Caenorhabditis elegans: one gene and its partner. The protein of the gene in region 2 purifies or fractionates together with the protein of the main gene of each other region. This does not show direct contact. Each region holds a gene or a part of one and is shown on either strand. Other genes may lie near its edges.

Region 1 (9,741 bases), 3.4 Mb from region 2:
GGAGCCTCGCCACGTCTTTTGCAAAAAGAAGTCGAGATGACGGTGAATGGGCTCCGAGAACAGGTTCAGAGAATGAGAAGCAATCCATCTGAATTTATTTGTCAGAAAATAATATAACAGAAAAGTGATTCGCTCACCATAGTTTGCGCTACTGTACTCAAGTTTGCATCCATGGAAATAGAATGAGGAACATCGAACACCAACTGCGGATTTCTAACAAAATTGGCCCAAACTCTGAGAACGTAGCCATTAGCCTTCCATTGCTGACAAATATTTTCAGAAACTCCGTTCACTGAAGCTTCACGATCCAAAATGTCAAAGAAGAATTTTAAAATTGGCGGGTAGCTTGAATCGTGCATGTATAGTACGGATTCTAGGAAGTCTTCCACATAAGTTTCTACTGTTCCCTTTGAAGTGAGCAACCTTGTTAGGTACACTTCTGGAATAGATTTGGGTAGCAAATTGCTGTCGTTTGAAGATTTCTTCTTGAAAGTCATAGTTCCAGATGACGGATTTGTTAGGTGATAGTATTTTGAAGATGAATAAATTGGAGAGCATCGATCTAACGATGACCAGGAAGATTGTCCAGAATCTGCGAGAGAATCTGAAATTTTAAGGGTTATATTCAAATTTTGTTTCTTCAATTAACTCACTTCTATAGCTTTCCGCTGTATAAACCGCTGGAGACATTTCCAGCGTACAGCCATCACTGATACCGTAATCTGCCAAAGTGAACAACTTTACTGGTAGCTTTTTCTGCGATAACGTCTCAATTGGCAAAACATCGGTCAGTTTCACATCTCCCCGTTTGGGACATTTATATTCTGAAAAAAAACTGATTGAAGACACATATGGGATTATTTATGACCCACTCAATTCGAACTGCGTTATTCTCGGTCGCTGTGAATATGGTGTTTCACGATAGACAGCTGAAGCAACTTTTTGTTTGACTTGACAAATTGCGTCGCATGCATGAACTTCAAGATCTATTGATTCATCGCATTTTTCAAATGGAATCACACGAATTTTCTGAAAATTAACCAAAAATAGCATATCAATTAGACTTGCTTTCCCTTTTCCTGTGGGATCAACTGTAAACGTTTCAAAACTGAAACAAAGGTATGTTGTTAAAATGAATTATATATTTTCTGATTAATCCAGGTTAAATAACTATGTAAATTTGTTACATCAATTCACAATTTTGTGGAATTTCTACCAAAATTCGTTTCTTCCGATAATAAAATTTAGTAGCCGTTCATAATAACCGTTGATTCTCTCGTAGTCTAGTAAACTTTGAAATAATAGGAAAATATTTTCTCACTATTTCATCTTATATACTACGTTGTTATTTTACTAACCCGGGTATACTCAAATTTACTAGAACTACTTGACTACAAACTACAAGTGCGACATTTGTATTCACTATATTTGGGTAATTATACTTGGAATAAATTATAAAAATGAGTTTTGAACTCGTAGTAAAAAACATCTAGTAAGATACAATAATAAGATACAAAGCGTAGTAAAAAAAATCACCGTAGTAAAAGATACATTGTAAAGTTAAAAATCATCTTTAACCTCTATGAGTTTAAACACTTGTGAAACTTTTTATAAAACCTTGAACATTTGAAAATTTGAAAAAAAGCTCACCAAAGTCTTTGTGTCCACACTCTCCCTTAACAATTTGGCCTCGTTAATCGTATATCTCGCATCACCGGTCACCGCGTCCACGGGTCCTTTGTCAGTTTGATATTGTAGCGCCTTATATAGATAGAAGTACGAGTTCATTTGCGGAGTCAAATGGGAGTACAAACAAATGCTCATCCACTTTGAGAACATTTTCTCCACCACCGAGTCACTATTCCGAAACAGTAACTCGGCGCGCTTATTTTGAACCGATCTTGCGATATGGGCACGTAGAAGGTCCACAACAACTTCAGTGCAATAAGAGAAGTTTCGAAGTAACACAGATATCAGGAGGCTTGCTAACATTGACTTCTCTGATGTTGATATGGAGACATCCGATTCTGCAGCTTCTACGATAGTGAAAATAAAGCCTTTGAAGCTCAGAAGTGCATGAAATTGAGCAAGAGTCACTGGGAGAGTCCTTGCCAAACTCGGCGCAGATGTAAGGTTGTTATCAGACCAGAGCAGGTTCTCCACAAAATGCGGGAAGTTGATGAGTTCCGGTCCAAGGTTCACAGAATTTGCAGACTTTGGAGATAGTACTAGGTTTGTTTGAAGTTCAGCGAATGCTTGCTTGCATTCTTTACGAACATTGTTTTCAAGATTTTCCATTTGAAGCTGAATCTTTCGGTATTCTTTCTCTCGTTCTTGACGCCTCCGCTTGAAAACCAAGCACATCACAGTCAACGTGACAACAATGAACAGAAGTAGCCCAAGAATCAAAAGTGATAGTCTGGACGGGAGTGCATGATCGGAATACTCAATCAACCCAAGCTCCATTCTAAGTGATCCAACTATTACAGTAACCAGCGGGTTATCCCCATTAATTGGAATTCCTCTTTCATCGGTAGCTTTTGGTTGCCTCACCGGTCCCGAGCACACCAATTGCCTAACATCTACAAGTGTCACGTAGCATCTCTCATTTCCAATGAAGATCTTGAAATCATTTGGCTCCGCAGCAAGATTTAGATTGTGTCCTTCAAGAATGAGTGATTGTTCTCCCTGATGATATCGTACTCCTTTGAACGGAGAAAGCGTCGGATTCGGATAGATGCCCATCTGAATTCGTCTTCCCAAATTTGCTACAGCTGTGACATTGTCCATGTGAAAACCCACAGGTTGCCGTGTATACTCAACTCTTCTAGTGATTGTTTCCAAAATTTTTGGAGTCATACAAGTCATTAATGTAGAGTTAATGATGTGACATGGAGCCAGATCAGATATTATATAAAACGGAGGTGTTGGAGATGATATGAGGAATAGCTTTGCTGTTTGAACAGTGTTCAATGAGTTGCCTTGAACATAAACAATTCTTCCGCCGGCTTTGAAAGAAGTCATCGGGAAGATTGAGCTAATAGACGGGTCCGATCGATATTCAAATGGTTGATCGAGTTGAGTCTGGGAGTGATCCACATGAACAACTACTCTAGCAGATTTTCCAATTCGAGTTCCAGAAGGTGTTAGACAAGTCAAAACTGTTGAAGAATTTACCCTTTCAATAGGACACGGCATGCCACCAACTGTCACAGAGGTTTGAGATCCACTTGATAAGTTCTGACCGTACAGAGTTATTCGAGTTCCGCCAGATATTGGGCCATACAGGGGGTAAGCGGAGAATATTGATGTTCTTACAAACGAATATAGTTCCGATGATTCTGCTACTGCAACTGTTGCCCGACCAACTGATATCCTGATTGGGCCCGAGCTGACACCTTTGTCGACTTGACATGCAATCATGTTAGAAACATGATACTCCACAATATTACATCTAGAACCGGCGACATAGATCTTTCCACGAACGTCTTCTACAGACATGCCCAGGTCATTCCCATAGATTTTGATGATTGTGCCTCCTTCGATGGGCCCACTTGTTGGTTCGAACTGAAACATTTTTAAATACAAGATATATACGTATTCATATCATTTTTACTTTATCGATTCTTGGTGGATCACACACAGCAGTGGCCTTTGACTCGTGGCACTCGTGGGAGCACTGTCGATTACACCATCCACATGATAGTGAAGGGGAAAGAGCAAGACAACTGGAACAGTCAGATGCCAGGTTGGTGCAAGAGTAAAGGGACACTGAAAAGCAGTTCAATTAAAGTATGTATTGTAAACTGAATTCACAAATCTCTGGTACTTACCATTAGCAATATCAATTACAGAGTCCCTTGTGATCAGGCTCAACGGAACCACCATGTTTGCACTCGTAGTGTTGCTCAAAGTCAACTGAATCTTGCCACAACGGATACTATCGCTTGCAATCTTTGCAAGAGACACTTGCTCGTTTACTTTACAAAAATGTTCGTGCCTTCGATCAAGAGTATCCAGGTTAGACGCCTCGAGCACGATTTCTTGTTGAGAACCGATAGCAATTGGGAGCCTCATTGGTTGAATTTTCACGCAGGCTTTTGATTTTTCCAATGCCCCACAGGAATTCGAACATTTGTGCAATCCAGAGCACCAGGCACAATTGTACTCAGAGCTCATACAGGACGAGCATGTACCGTAACCCGAGCAATCGTAAACTGTGAAGTTGTGACGGCTGATTGGATTATTGGAAATTGATGTTAGCAACAAAATTTCAAAAGTGTTTGGTGATGTAAAAATTTCCGATGGGCATGAAACTCCGGTCGTTGTCCAGTTAGCTTTGATAGATGATGTTGATGTTCCGAATTGGCATCTATAAGTGAAACCGACTGGAGGTGGAAGATGGTGAATGTTGAAGGATATAGGGGTAGAGGAGTTCACGGAGACTATTGAAGGAATCGGATCACCATCGACAATTGGACACTGAGAAGTCTGAAACGTGTATGCCAAAATAGAACAAAGATAAACTTGCTTACAACTGGACTAGTACACCTTGCTGAAGTCGTACACGATTGCGTCGGATGACACCATTGGCAGAGTGGGTCTACAGAGACTAAGCATTCTGTGCATGAGCTGTGATGAGAGCAAGTGGAAAGCTCTTCTAATATGATCTAAAAAACCAAAATTTGTTCTACATGAAACCCTTTTTTCAAAATAAACTTACTCCATATGGCATCTGCACAATGACAAAATCCCCAAATTTGACCATTTTGCTGACCTCGCTCCCAGTTCGCCCATCTCCAACTTCCTTTCTACCGTACTCTTCCAACTGGTTTGAATGGTGCTCGTCCCATTTAAACTAAAATTGTTTGTAATAGTTTTTTTAAAGATCAGTCCTATGATTTCAAGAAATAATCCCTTTGTGATATGCATTTGATTGACATTTGTTTTCATATACATTTTTGAAGATTAAAGTGTCATTCGAAATGCTGTTTAGGGTCAGCGACAATGATGGATCACAAGCAGTTAGTCGTGTGAATCTAGCTAGCTTTTTTAGTAAAATTTACCATCACAATCTGCGAAGTTGTTGTTCCCGCGAAAATTGCTTTTTGATCTACAGCCATCAATGACGTCACCTTTCCCATAATGTCTTTTGTGGACATCTCAACAAGTTCAATTGATCCACCAACACCGAGCTCACAGCTATCTTCGTCGAGGGGTATGTGGGCTTTCTGAAAAGCGAAATAATTTCTTCATTGAAAAACCTAAAACTTGCATTAACACATTTTGTATCTCTCCCGATATGAGGTAGTCTAATCGAATCAGTACCACTTCTACACCTATCCACATTGTACCAAAAAGTCAGCTTCACTTTTTGCATCGAAAATACACAAATGGAACTTTTTGGAGATGTGGATGATGTTGAGAACGATGCGATCAGCTTGTCGTAGGATTGAATGATTGCGTTCAGAAATGGATAGTTGGTATTGTCCTCTCCGCGGCATTGAAGTTCGATTTCAGAGTAGGATTCAAATCTGAAAATAGGGATATAACTTTTGCTAATTTTTGGCCTAAACACCTACTTTGTGTCATTTCGGCAGAATCGTATCAACCTGGTTGTCATAGGTAATCTTGACTCTCTTGGTGTGACCATGGCGACCACAAACACAAAATGTTGATGCGTAAAGGTGTACAAAAACTTGAATGCATTCTTGTAAGCTGCTCTCAGGAAAACTGCAGCTTCTCCTTCCAGATCACCGGCATTCTCAACATTCAGACCGGGCAAGTTTCGAATTGCAACCGCTGGAAACGGGTCTCGATACGGAGATTCTTTCGTTGCACTTGCCGCAACAATTAAACGATTATCGATGATTTTCGATACTGTGGACGCGTCTGGAGAATTCGCGGCAACTGCGATAGTGGATTCAGTGATGAGAGATAACTTCGAATTGAACGTGGAGCATGACCCGAGCTTTACAGAACCACACTGAAGAATTTGATTTGTGGGAAGGATTTGTAGGATTTTTGTGCGAACATCTGTTGGGAAGGGGCGATTGTCTCTGAAAATAATAATTTGGATAAAGACGTGATGTTGATTAACTAGCTTTAAGCAAGATTTTCCATCTGCAGAGCACCAAGGAGAATCTTGAACCGGACCGAGTGAAACCTCATGTTGTATTGAAAAATTAGAAATTGATAAAGATGTTAGTCGGTTGAGAGATGCCACGTAGATCTGAAAGATTAAAATTACTCAGGTACCAACTATAGGCTTCTGCTTAGGCTTATTAGGCAGGCAGAAATGAGGGCGTGCCTAGCTTTCAAAAATGATAGTTTTCTCAAAATTCTCGAAATTGTGAGATGTCCTACCGTTTGTTGGTCCCTCGAGACAATAAAGTCGTCAATGTGTCCAGAAAAATGAAATAATTTTTGTTTCACGCCTTCTGTTTCAAAGGGCGGCTGGGTTACCGCCCGCAGAAAATGGCTGATTAGGAGAAGAAACACCGATTCGGGGAGCATAATCGCATTTCTGAAAATAAGAAGATTTATGATCATTTCAGAAAAAAAGTAATAGAGAAATTTAAAAGAAGTTTAGCCAATTCAGAAATTTGAAAATAAAGGTACTAATATGCCTGCATGTTTGACTAAAAGGCGATTAACTCCTAACTTCTACCAACTCATCGAAGTAATAAAACGTGACACCAAAAAAGAATTTACTAACCTCAATAGTATTTTGATTAAAAATTTTCATGAAAAACCAAAAATGCAAAAACTAGGTTAATTCATTCCAAAAAAAAATGTAATAAATTTTTCCAACATAAGGAAATACCTGTGTCCAATGTCTCCCCATTCTTCAATAACCACATAACCTATAAATCACTTGAAACGTGAACGAATTCAATGTTTAATTGTAATGCAATACAATACTTGACTGACCATTTCCATCATGATCAATCAAACGAAAAAAAGTGAACCGATGGTCGTCGATGAAGCGAATCGGTTAGACATTTTTTGTGCAGACATTTACAAAATGGTCATTTGTTTGTTACGTTTTGAAGAAGTACATTTGGATTAGTAAATACAATTTATAAATTTCTCATTTTATAGATTGTTTGAACCAAATTCAGAATTAACTAGTAGTGACCAAAATTTTTGTAGTTCTAGTTGTATAAGGCATAGATCACCTTGTAGGCAGGCAGGCAGTTATATTTTTTGAATAGAAGCCGTAGCCTTTTGGAGGTCCGTAGAGAAACATGTAATATTTTAAAAAGAAACGGAAACGTAAAATGAGGGGAAATGAGTAAAAATGACATAAATGTAATCCCCAAATGAGTTTTCGGTCCTATAGGGTCCAAACCAAAAATGGAACATGAAACTGAGAAGCAAAAGAAGATATGAAAAAGAGCACAAGCAAAAAAGAGCAAAAAATGGGATGGACAATGAAAATAGATGGACGGACAAGGGGAAATGTGTCAGGAGGATCCGGAGGGACTGGGTAAGCCGGGTTGGGGGAAAATGAAATAGAAATATGTATGTACATACGAAAAAATCTGAAACTAGATAAATATTCATTAATGATCACTAACTCGGCAGACAGATGTTCAGTTTGTATTTGCGAAAAGTCGGGTAGAGAGCAACCCGCGAATTATGTCAAAGAAAATGATTAATGAGTTTGATTCTAATCGATCACATGGTGAGGACTCCGGAACAGAGTGTGTAAAGTTTATAGTATTGATTATTGAAATAGTGATGGTTATTTGTGGGGCAGTGGGATTTCATTTAAAAAAAAACTCCTTTAGTGCTAATATTTCAGAACGCCTTTACACAACATTTGGCAGTTTTGGGCCATATGGGTCTAGACTAAAATTTCACAAAAATTCAAATAATTGAAATAATTTGGATTATATCTTGAAAAACTGCCGACTGGTACAAAAATAAAAATGCATGCACATTAGGATCATTAGTAGGTGTTCTATATAGACTAAGGAAGCGTATATATATACAGCTAAGCCAAGACAAGGCACAAGCTTATGAGTTAATGAGTTAATGAGCTGCGTGGCAGGTGATGACGGCGGAGCGCAAGAGACAACGGAAGACGGTGTCAAAAACAAACAGAGCGTGTTCTAGGGGTTAAGTAGGTTGTGAACCTATTAACATGAGAGTTTCAAGAAGAACTAAGAACACATGTACATAGGAAGGTTTTGCTCAATTGCCGGAGTTCCCTTATAAACATCGTGTCTGGAACCTAGTAGCGTTGTTTAAATTTTTTAAAAATTAGTTTTGTCTTTCGGTAACTTTCGATTCTTTGTAATTTTTCTACCAGCCGCACAGCCTTATTGCAAACTGAGTAACTGCTATTTTCTGACTGTAACTTTTCAAAAAACTTTATTTCTGCATAGTGAAATTGGCAGATTCAGCACTATTTTTGTAATCAAACCAGATTTTGCCTTACAAGTTTGCTTTGTTAGGACATTACAATTCTAATTCGATGAGATTGAAAAATTATTGTTGCCAGCTATCTCGTACCTATAAAGTATAAAGTTTTTATGATTAGATTAACACTTTCTATTGGGCAATCAAGTGGTGTAATACTTTCATGAATGTATACATGTGTATATGCCATAAATATCATGTGTGGTCAGAATGAATTATGCAAATTCGCTATGGTAAACACGTATATTTCAAAGTTAGGAAATTTGACTGGGTTTCAAAAATTTCAAAGACTAAAAAAAAACACTAAAATAATATATCCTACTATAATGATGATGATGACACCCGTAAATTTCCGCTCAAAACCGGGGGAACAATAGGATAATTGGTTATGAGTGTGTGTGAGCACATAAAGAGCACTACTGAATAACTCGGAAAAAGATGGGGACAATGAGAAGAGGACCGTATATATATGCAAATAGCTGGATATAACAGAGAATGGAACAGGGAACTAGTATAGAGACAGCTGCCCAGTTTCTAAACATTGACTTTCGACAGAATGTTGGTCGTAAATGATAATTTAATTTTGATTTGAATTGTTTATTCACAACCTGTTAAACAATTTTAATTGTCCAGGCATTTAAGTTAACGCCTTTTTCGTGGGCGGAGATTAAGAGCTACCCTTATAGTTTTTGAAATTAAGATGTGAGAAAATATTAAATAACTTTCAGAAACTCAAATGTTGTTAGAAACATGATCGAGCAAAACAGTAGAAAATGTTCATCTTGGAAACTTCGTAGAGTGAGAAAAAATGCGAACGATGATGAAAAGAAAATGATGATGAATCACTTTACTGCGTTGTACGCGTTGAGTACGACGATGGTAAATGTGAGCAAAAGGTTTGTAGTCGCAAGTTTGCACAGTTTACAACCAGACCAGTAGTGGTCTTGAAACATGGTGATCTAAATGGGAAAAAAAGCAAAAAAGGAAAAAAAGACAAGAGGAGAAAAGTCAAAAAGTGAGTATTTCATGCTCTCCGGGGGATAAGAAGAAAAATTCAATTAACCGTTTCCCGCCCGGCGTTTTGTTTCTTTTTCTTTTTTTATTCGGTAAGAGTATTTCTGAGTAAATTGAAAAAAAGGGAGGGGGGATTTAGAGAGACTTTCATTAATTCCTATAGTCATTGTTGCGAAAGTAAGGAAAGCTTTCTGGTGAAGTTATATTTTAGAGACTTCAAATCCCGAGTATGCGCTGTATGCAAAATCCTACAATTCTCGCTGGATCTTTGAAGATGTAGAAAAAGAATTTCAGTGG
Region 2 (6,749 bases):
TTTAATTTAATATAGTACAATTAAGGGATTATATTATTTATGCAACAAAAAGGGATATATACAGTTTAATAGTTTTTTCAATAAGGTTGTTCCATAAAATTAATCTAGAAATCTCTGTTCTGAAAATTTGGTTACTGTACCTCATTACTACAGGCTCCAAAAAATAAAAATTAATTTTTGAAAAGTCTTTAACAAATTGAAAATTTTTAAAGTAATTTTAAAATCGATTCAAAATGTTTTTACTGTCGGCTATAAGTTCAGGCATAGTTTTGTGACCTTTGAGAAAATTGGGGTATTTTTTCAAAACTTTAACACTTGATTTTTTTATTTCGGAGATTTTAGAACTTAAAAAATGGATGAAGGAAAAATGGACAATAATATTAACTTGCAACTTTTAACTTTCAGAAGTGTAAGGCTGTCAGAGGAATTATGGTAAATTCTGGAGAACATTTTGAAAATTTCTCATCTCACGAACAATCTAGATGTGAGCCATAGAAATCTAGAAATGATAGAGAAAGTCCAAGTAATGATAATGATCAAAAGACAAGACATCTCTCAACACAAAAGACGACAACACCGGGGAAGAAGAATCATCGAAATTTGTGGCCGGGTGTCATAAAAATGAGAAATTGCTGGTCATCGGGTGTCGTCGTATGCCTGCACACATAAAGCACACATGTCGGGAAGGCGCCTAGATGACGACCGACATCTTCCAGATGACCTCCAATTACTAGTGATGGCTCACAGTTTGAGCACAGAAAGATGGAAGCTAAATGCTCGATAGATATCCGGATGGCGGTTTTTGGACGATTTTATTGACATTTGGAATTTATTTTATGATTGCCAGATCTAGAGAGGAGCTTGGAGGGTAAAAAACTATGAAGAGATTTTTTTATTTAAAGGTGTAGCAATCTGTCAAAGAAAAATTTCAACGCAAAATTTTCCAAAATTTACACTTTTGTTTTGAAAGGTTGGCACTTTTCCAAAATTTTGACTAAAAATGCTTAGAAGCTCAAACTATTTCAGAGTGTTGGCAGTGTTGTAGACTCAAACAAAAGTGTTTCAAAATGTATAGAATAATTTTTCGAATTTAAAAATTTGGTTGAAATGGCTGGAATTTGAAATTTTAGAGCTGTATCTTACAAAAAAAAGTCTCTGGAACTTTAAAAATTTAACTCGATTTGAAAATCTACCTCACTATGTATTATTGAGTCAGAAAACGGTTATATTTCCAAAAATAGATCAGAAGCAATGTTTTAGAAAAAATCACCTATTCTAAAGCTCAAAGCTTTAAAAAAATAAGGTCATGCTGAAACAAAAGCATTCCGCTCAAATGAGCACCACCGATATAAATGCTCATCAGGGAAAAATAGAAACTATGAAAAGTTATATTAAAAATACTTCAACTAGCAGGCCTAAAATCTAGAATAAAATTCGCTCACCGAATCAAACATAAATCAGTGAATCACACCTATTCTCATCAATTTCTCTCTGTTTCGCCCTTCCCACTCTATGTCATAAAAATGAAAATCACGAAGAGAACAAGTGACCGAATAAAAGTGACCAAGAGGCGCAGATATCAAGCCACATGCTCAAACAAATGCAAATGTGATCGCAACAAGAAGAGGAGGAGGAATGGACAACCTATTTTAATGCAAATTTGAACAGTTTTTGGCTGGGGCGCCTATTTTAAATTTAGTTAGGATGAGTTGACCCCTCTCGAAGTGCGAAATTTCAATGAATAACTGAACAAGTTAGGCATTCCAGTTTTTCAACAATTGAATTTGGATCATTATGTATTTCTAAAACAACTTAAACTTTTAAAATGCATTAACTGAAAAAATTTTGATTGTGTGTGAGCATATATTTTCAGACATTTTTTGGCACCGTAATTTCTGGTTTAAAATTATATAAAAAATTTTTAAAACATCCCTCCCTCAAAAAATCCCCATCCCAAACTAACCTTTAACATAAAGATTTGCGGCTTTCGAGTGAGCAACTCCTAATGTATTCCTTGCAATGCATTCGTATTTTCCCTGATCTTCTTCTCGAGCATGCTGAATCATCAGGGCTCCAGGGTTTCCGATTGTACTTACAGAGTATCTACCATCTGCACGAATGTCTAGCGGGATCAGGTCACGGAGCCAAAGGACTTTTGCTCGAGGATCTCCTCGGACCTGAAAGAATTTTTTTGAATTTGATTTTGGAATCGTTAACATTTTTAAAGTTTTTTAAAAAAATATTTTTTTATTTGTTTTTTTTAATTTGAAAACAGCCGACATAGTTTTTAGTATTTGGTTTCAGGTATATAGGGTAATTCCAGATGTGCTATGATATTTTGGTGTTGGTAACTTTTGGTATTTGTGCTATTTTTGCTATTTTAATCCCATTTTAACTCCATATTGAATTGTTCTTCTTTCAATTGTTAATTTCTTCAAGTTCATTTTTATTTCCGAAATATCATATTTTTAAAAGTTTTTAGCATTATTATTTGTTGATAAAATTTTAAAATCTTTTCATAATACATACAACGAATTTCCCATCTTAAACGCAACTATTTTAAAATTTCAAAAAACTTACCCGACAAGAGACATAAGCAGTTTTCCCCTGTTCGACCGACTTCAATGATGGATGAAGTTCAATTTGAGGGAACCCAATCGGAACTTTGTCTCGTGGGACAACGGTTAGTGATGCTTCTGCGACAACTGGATTGGCAACTCCATTATCAGCCGAGCAGGACACAACAGTCGCATTGTCATCCAGAGAGACACGTTCGAAACGGAGAGTCGATAAGCCGGTGGCCAAGGATTTTATTGATATTCTGGAAAATTTGTAACAGTTATATATTTCAATGAAGCCTTAATACCGATTATGATCTGTTATGGATTTTCCATTGACTCTCCAAATCACACTAGGCAACGGATTTCCATCTGCTCGACAGAAAAATGAGATTTTCGATTCATCGACGACGGTTGATGAGTCTGGACGGACGACTAGTCGGGCGGGGTCTGAAGATTATAAAAATAGAAACTGTAAATATAGTTCACTTGAATTCTTGCCAACAATACAACTTAGAATTGAATCCTCCGCATAAAACTGCGCTTAAATTTGAAACTGAGCTGGAATCTTAGGGAGTATTACAGCTTTATCCGGGCCTATGTGGTTGCAAAAAAAATGAATCTGAATTATTTTCCTGATTTTTTCCTGATTTTACAAGTGTCTAGGGGTAGTAAAGCTTTTTGAAACATTTTTTTAATAAAAAATGTTTTCCAATTTTTTTCTGAAAAAAAATTCCAAAGGTTTTTCTGTTTTCTCGAAAAACCATTATTTTTCAACCAAACCTGCACTATAACTTACACGCAAGAGCTTGAATATAACTCTGATAAGCTTCAGCATAAAGCTGATTATTTGTAAACTCTTCCTTCCGAACCAACGGAATTCCCCCGTCCTGCACATCCTGATTATCAGGTGGCTCTTCATCATTCCACCCGAAATCCTCATCCTCTTCCCCCAACTTACCGTCCTCTTTTGCCGCGACCAGTACGGTACTTAGCATTAGAAACAGAAGCAGCGACGAGCCTTTTCGGCGTGCCACATTTCGTAAGTGACGCGCTATCCGATTCATACTGTTGTTCTTGTTTCTGAATTGGATCATGATGTTTTTCTGATTAGAGAGATACACCCATTTTTGTTGGAAAATTTTTTAAAGTTTTTTCTTGAATTAAATTAATTTTATTTAATTTTTAATTTTTATTCGCGCTGCTTTCTGATCACAGAAGACTTTGTTGGGTATGAGGATTTAGAGGTGAGGATCTGAAATTTTAAATGAAAATTGTTAAGGGAACAGAAAGAAAAGAGCAGAAGTGACATCAACTACATAATCAAAGTTCAGGAAGCACAAGAGCATGAAACAAAAAGATATGAAAGGCCGATTAAAAAGCCACCACAAAAATTTTCCAAGCGACCTGGAAAGCCGCGCAAATGGGTTGAAGAACAAGAGGAAGAGAGAGAAAAGAAAAAAGTGGTGTGGAGAAGAAGGGGTCCCAGGGATTTATTTGGGAAATGGAAAATGTTGCTTTTATTAATGACCATTGCGCAAGGGCAGGTGAGGGGGTCATTTGGAAGGAGCTGGGGGCTTGGCGCGGGGGCGAGAGATTTGGAGAAAGGAGATGATAAATCTAATTGAGAAATCAAGGGAACACAATTATGAAATAGAGGGGTTTACAAAAATTTTTTCTTTATTCGGAAATAGCTCAGACTTTTATCATTTTGCATAACCTTTTCACAACCATTTTCATGTATATTTTTAGATTTTAAAAATTCAGACAATATATAGCAAGTTGGAGAAGCCTAGTTGAATTGGGATTTTTTCAATTTAATTCCTTATCATAGTTCATGGCCAAAATGTCATATTTTAACACAATTTTTTTTGGTTTTTTTTTTTTGAATTAAGAAAAGTAATACTACGATATTAGTTATTTTAGCACCATATAAATCAAAGTTCAAATTCGAAGTTCTAAAAATGCAAACAAAAAATTTTTTGAATATGTGAATTCTAAGACATTTTTGTAAGCGCTTTGTTTCAAGTCCCGTTAAAATCACCCCTGCCACATTCGCTTCTCTCAAAGCTTAAACTTTGAACAACTCTGCAAGAAAATAGAGAGTGTATAGAAGAAGAAGAGACGCAGAGCAAAAACATGCAAATGGCGGGACAAGACTAATCGAGGAATAAGGGGAGCAAAATGAAACAATTTTACTTCTATTACTATTACTCTTCTAGATGACCCCCATGTAATGAATGAATTCACACCAAGAGGTTGGAGTTGGAAAACTTTGATAGTTTATTTTGAGAAAAGGGGGAGAACTTTCTGTAGAGCAGGTGTTAAATTATAGTTTAATTAGTTTTCAGTGAACAGGTAATGTTCACAATGAGTCAACAGATTAAGGGGGTTTTGATACATCAAAATATGTTTTTAGAGATCAAAATGAGATTTTTTTTTTGAGAAAAATTAGACAAACCAATTTGTGAGTTAGTTCTTGAACATCAGCCGGATTCTGTAAAAGGTTCGGAAAATTTCAACTCAAATTCATCTTGCCACAATCTAGATTCTCTCAAGATCAAGCTCAAGCGTAATTGAGTACAAAATCTATTTTATAGAAAGCTGCATAGAAAGCTGCATTGTATTGGATAATCGAAGTCATTTTGTACTGTAAAATTAGGTTCAATCTGGGCAAACTTTAGCAACACTTGAAAAAAATGGGAAACCTTGACACCTTGAAAACTGGTCTTTAATAAAATGGAAATAATAAGTACCTTAAATACTGATGAGTTCAAGCTAATATCTGAGTTCTGTCGAGTTTTAAGGTTAAAATAACTTTTGAGCACCGTCCGGGCAATTTCAGAGGAGGGCAGCGGCACCGTCACGCCCGAACGGAATGGAATTTCTAGTCAGGGCTAAGTTTGGCAAAATACAGTAATATCTATCTAATTTTATGAAAGTCTTAGAGTTCAAGAAGAGCATAAAGCGGAAATAAAAGTGATGTTGTCTGCAAAATCTCGGGTGTGCACTTTTCCTCCACCGCCTCCACCATTTAGTGATGTGAATGACAGGAAGGAATGTGTGTAGTGAAAGACCAATGGACCTCATCATGTTCGACGTCAATCTAAGAGAGCTTCTCCTGCTTCTACTGCTACTACGGGCGCAAAACGGAAGGGACGAGAAAAAGTTGCCGAATGGACAATAGGCACTCCTTGGGGGATCACTAGAGCACCGCTATGGTGCAACCGATTATATTCACGCAGATTTTTGTTGTTTTTTGTTGTGTTGGTGGTTTTCAGAGGTGGTAGGGGAGAGAAAGAGACATAGAAAGAAATGGAAAAAAAACGGCAAAAAGACTTAAAGCGGTGGCAATGTGTCCGGAAGGAAACCCCTAATGCGAATCAAATGAAATCACTTGATTCATGTTAGAATTTATCACTTATAATACAGTTATTCAAAAGTCAAACATAGCCTTTGAGTTACTATATGATATTGTTAAAATTTTGAATAGTTTTTGAACTTTGCCCAATGGGACTTAATTACTTGACTTTTTCCAATTTTAAAATATTTCAAAACGTACATATGTTCATTGAAAATGCGCGGGTAATTTTATTGCGAACTGTCGAGATCGTAACAAAAAACTGAAAATATATCTAAAAATGAAAATGGAACATTGTTCGGTACCCATCCATTTTTGTAGGAACTTGGACGACTTACAGAAATTATTCATCGATTTTTCTATACGCAGTTTTTTCATGGACTAAATATCAATAGTCATGAAAGTTTCTAGGTTTAAAATTATGAGGATAGACAAATTTCGTTTGTTGTTAAATTGTCGAAAAATCAAACAACCAAATTTTTTCAAGAAGCCTTTTTTCGTCTAAAGTCTAAAAATTTTTTCTAGACTTGGTAGATCAATTTAATCAGTTTTTTCCAATGATAAAAAACTTGAAGAACTCGAAACACAAAGCGAAGAGAAGTAATTCTCAGAGACTCTCTGGGTGGGTGCGACACATACACACATTGAGGTGTCGTTGACTGTCATATTTTATTCATTAAATGTTTTTGTGCGACAATGGGCACCGGCTAGGGGAAAAGCGAACAAGCTGAGCTTCACTGATACTCATTCCGTCCGAAATAACTAACATCAAGGTTCAAAGAATATTGTCTAGTAATTTCATATTTTTAGTGAAATTTAGAAAAATATTT

What was found.
Region 1: the proteins of ptp-3 (region 2) and plx-2 purify together in Caenorhabditis elegans (affinity purification with western blotting, with the first as the bait; one study listed by BioGRID). This does not show direct contact.

The regions. Positions count from the first base shown.
Region 1 is NC_003280.10:14,418,366-14,428,106, forward strand, and holds the start of plx-2 (Plexin-2), read right to left. Parts: upstream 6,527-9,741; 5' UTR 6,517-6,526; coding exon 6,367-6,516; intron 6,233-6,366; coding exon 6,105-6,232; intron 6,060-6,104; coding exon 5,583-6,059; intron 5,535-5,582; coding exon 5,276-5,534; intron 5,232-5,275; coding exon 5,067-5,231; intron 4,859-5,066; coding exon 4,724-4,858; intron 4,671-4,723; coding exon 4,536-4,670; intron 4,492-4,535; coding exon 3,834-4,491; intron 3,772-3,833; coding exon 3,617-3,771; intron 3,568-3,616; coding exon 1,651-3,567; intron 1,030-1,650; coding exon 873-1,029; intron 825-872; coding exon 654-824; intron 605-653; coding exon 138-604; intron 89-137; coding exon 1-88. UniProt on the Caenorhabditis elegans protein: Involved as a receptor for mab-20/sema-2a in the formation or stabilization of cell-cell contacts at several stages of epithelial morphogenesis. In early embryonic development, required for proper ventral closure of the epidermis.
Region 2 is NC_003280.10:10,972,445-10,979,193, reverse strand, and holds the start of ptp-3 (protein-tyrosine-phosphatase), read right to left. Parts: upstream 3,626-6,749; coding exon 3,358-3,625; intron 3,009-3,357; coding exon 2,867-3,008; intron 2,822-2,866; coding exon 2,581-2,821; intron 2,178-2,580; coding exon 1,964-2,177; intron 1,817-1,963; exon of another isoform or gene 1,667-1,816; intron 737-1,666; exon of another isoform or gene 528-736; intron 1-527. UniProt on the Caenorhabditis elegans protein: Has a role in early neural and epidermal development; neuroblast movements during closure of the gastrulation cleft and epidermal morphogenesis. Vab-1 and ptp-3 may function redundantly within the same sets of neuronal precursors.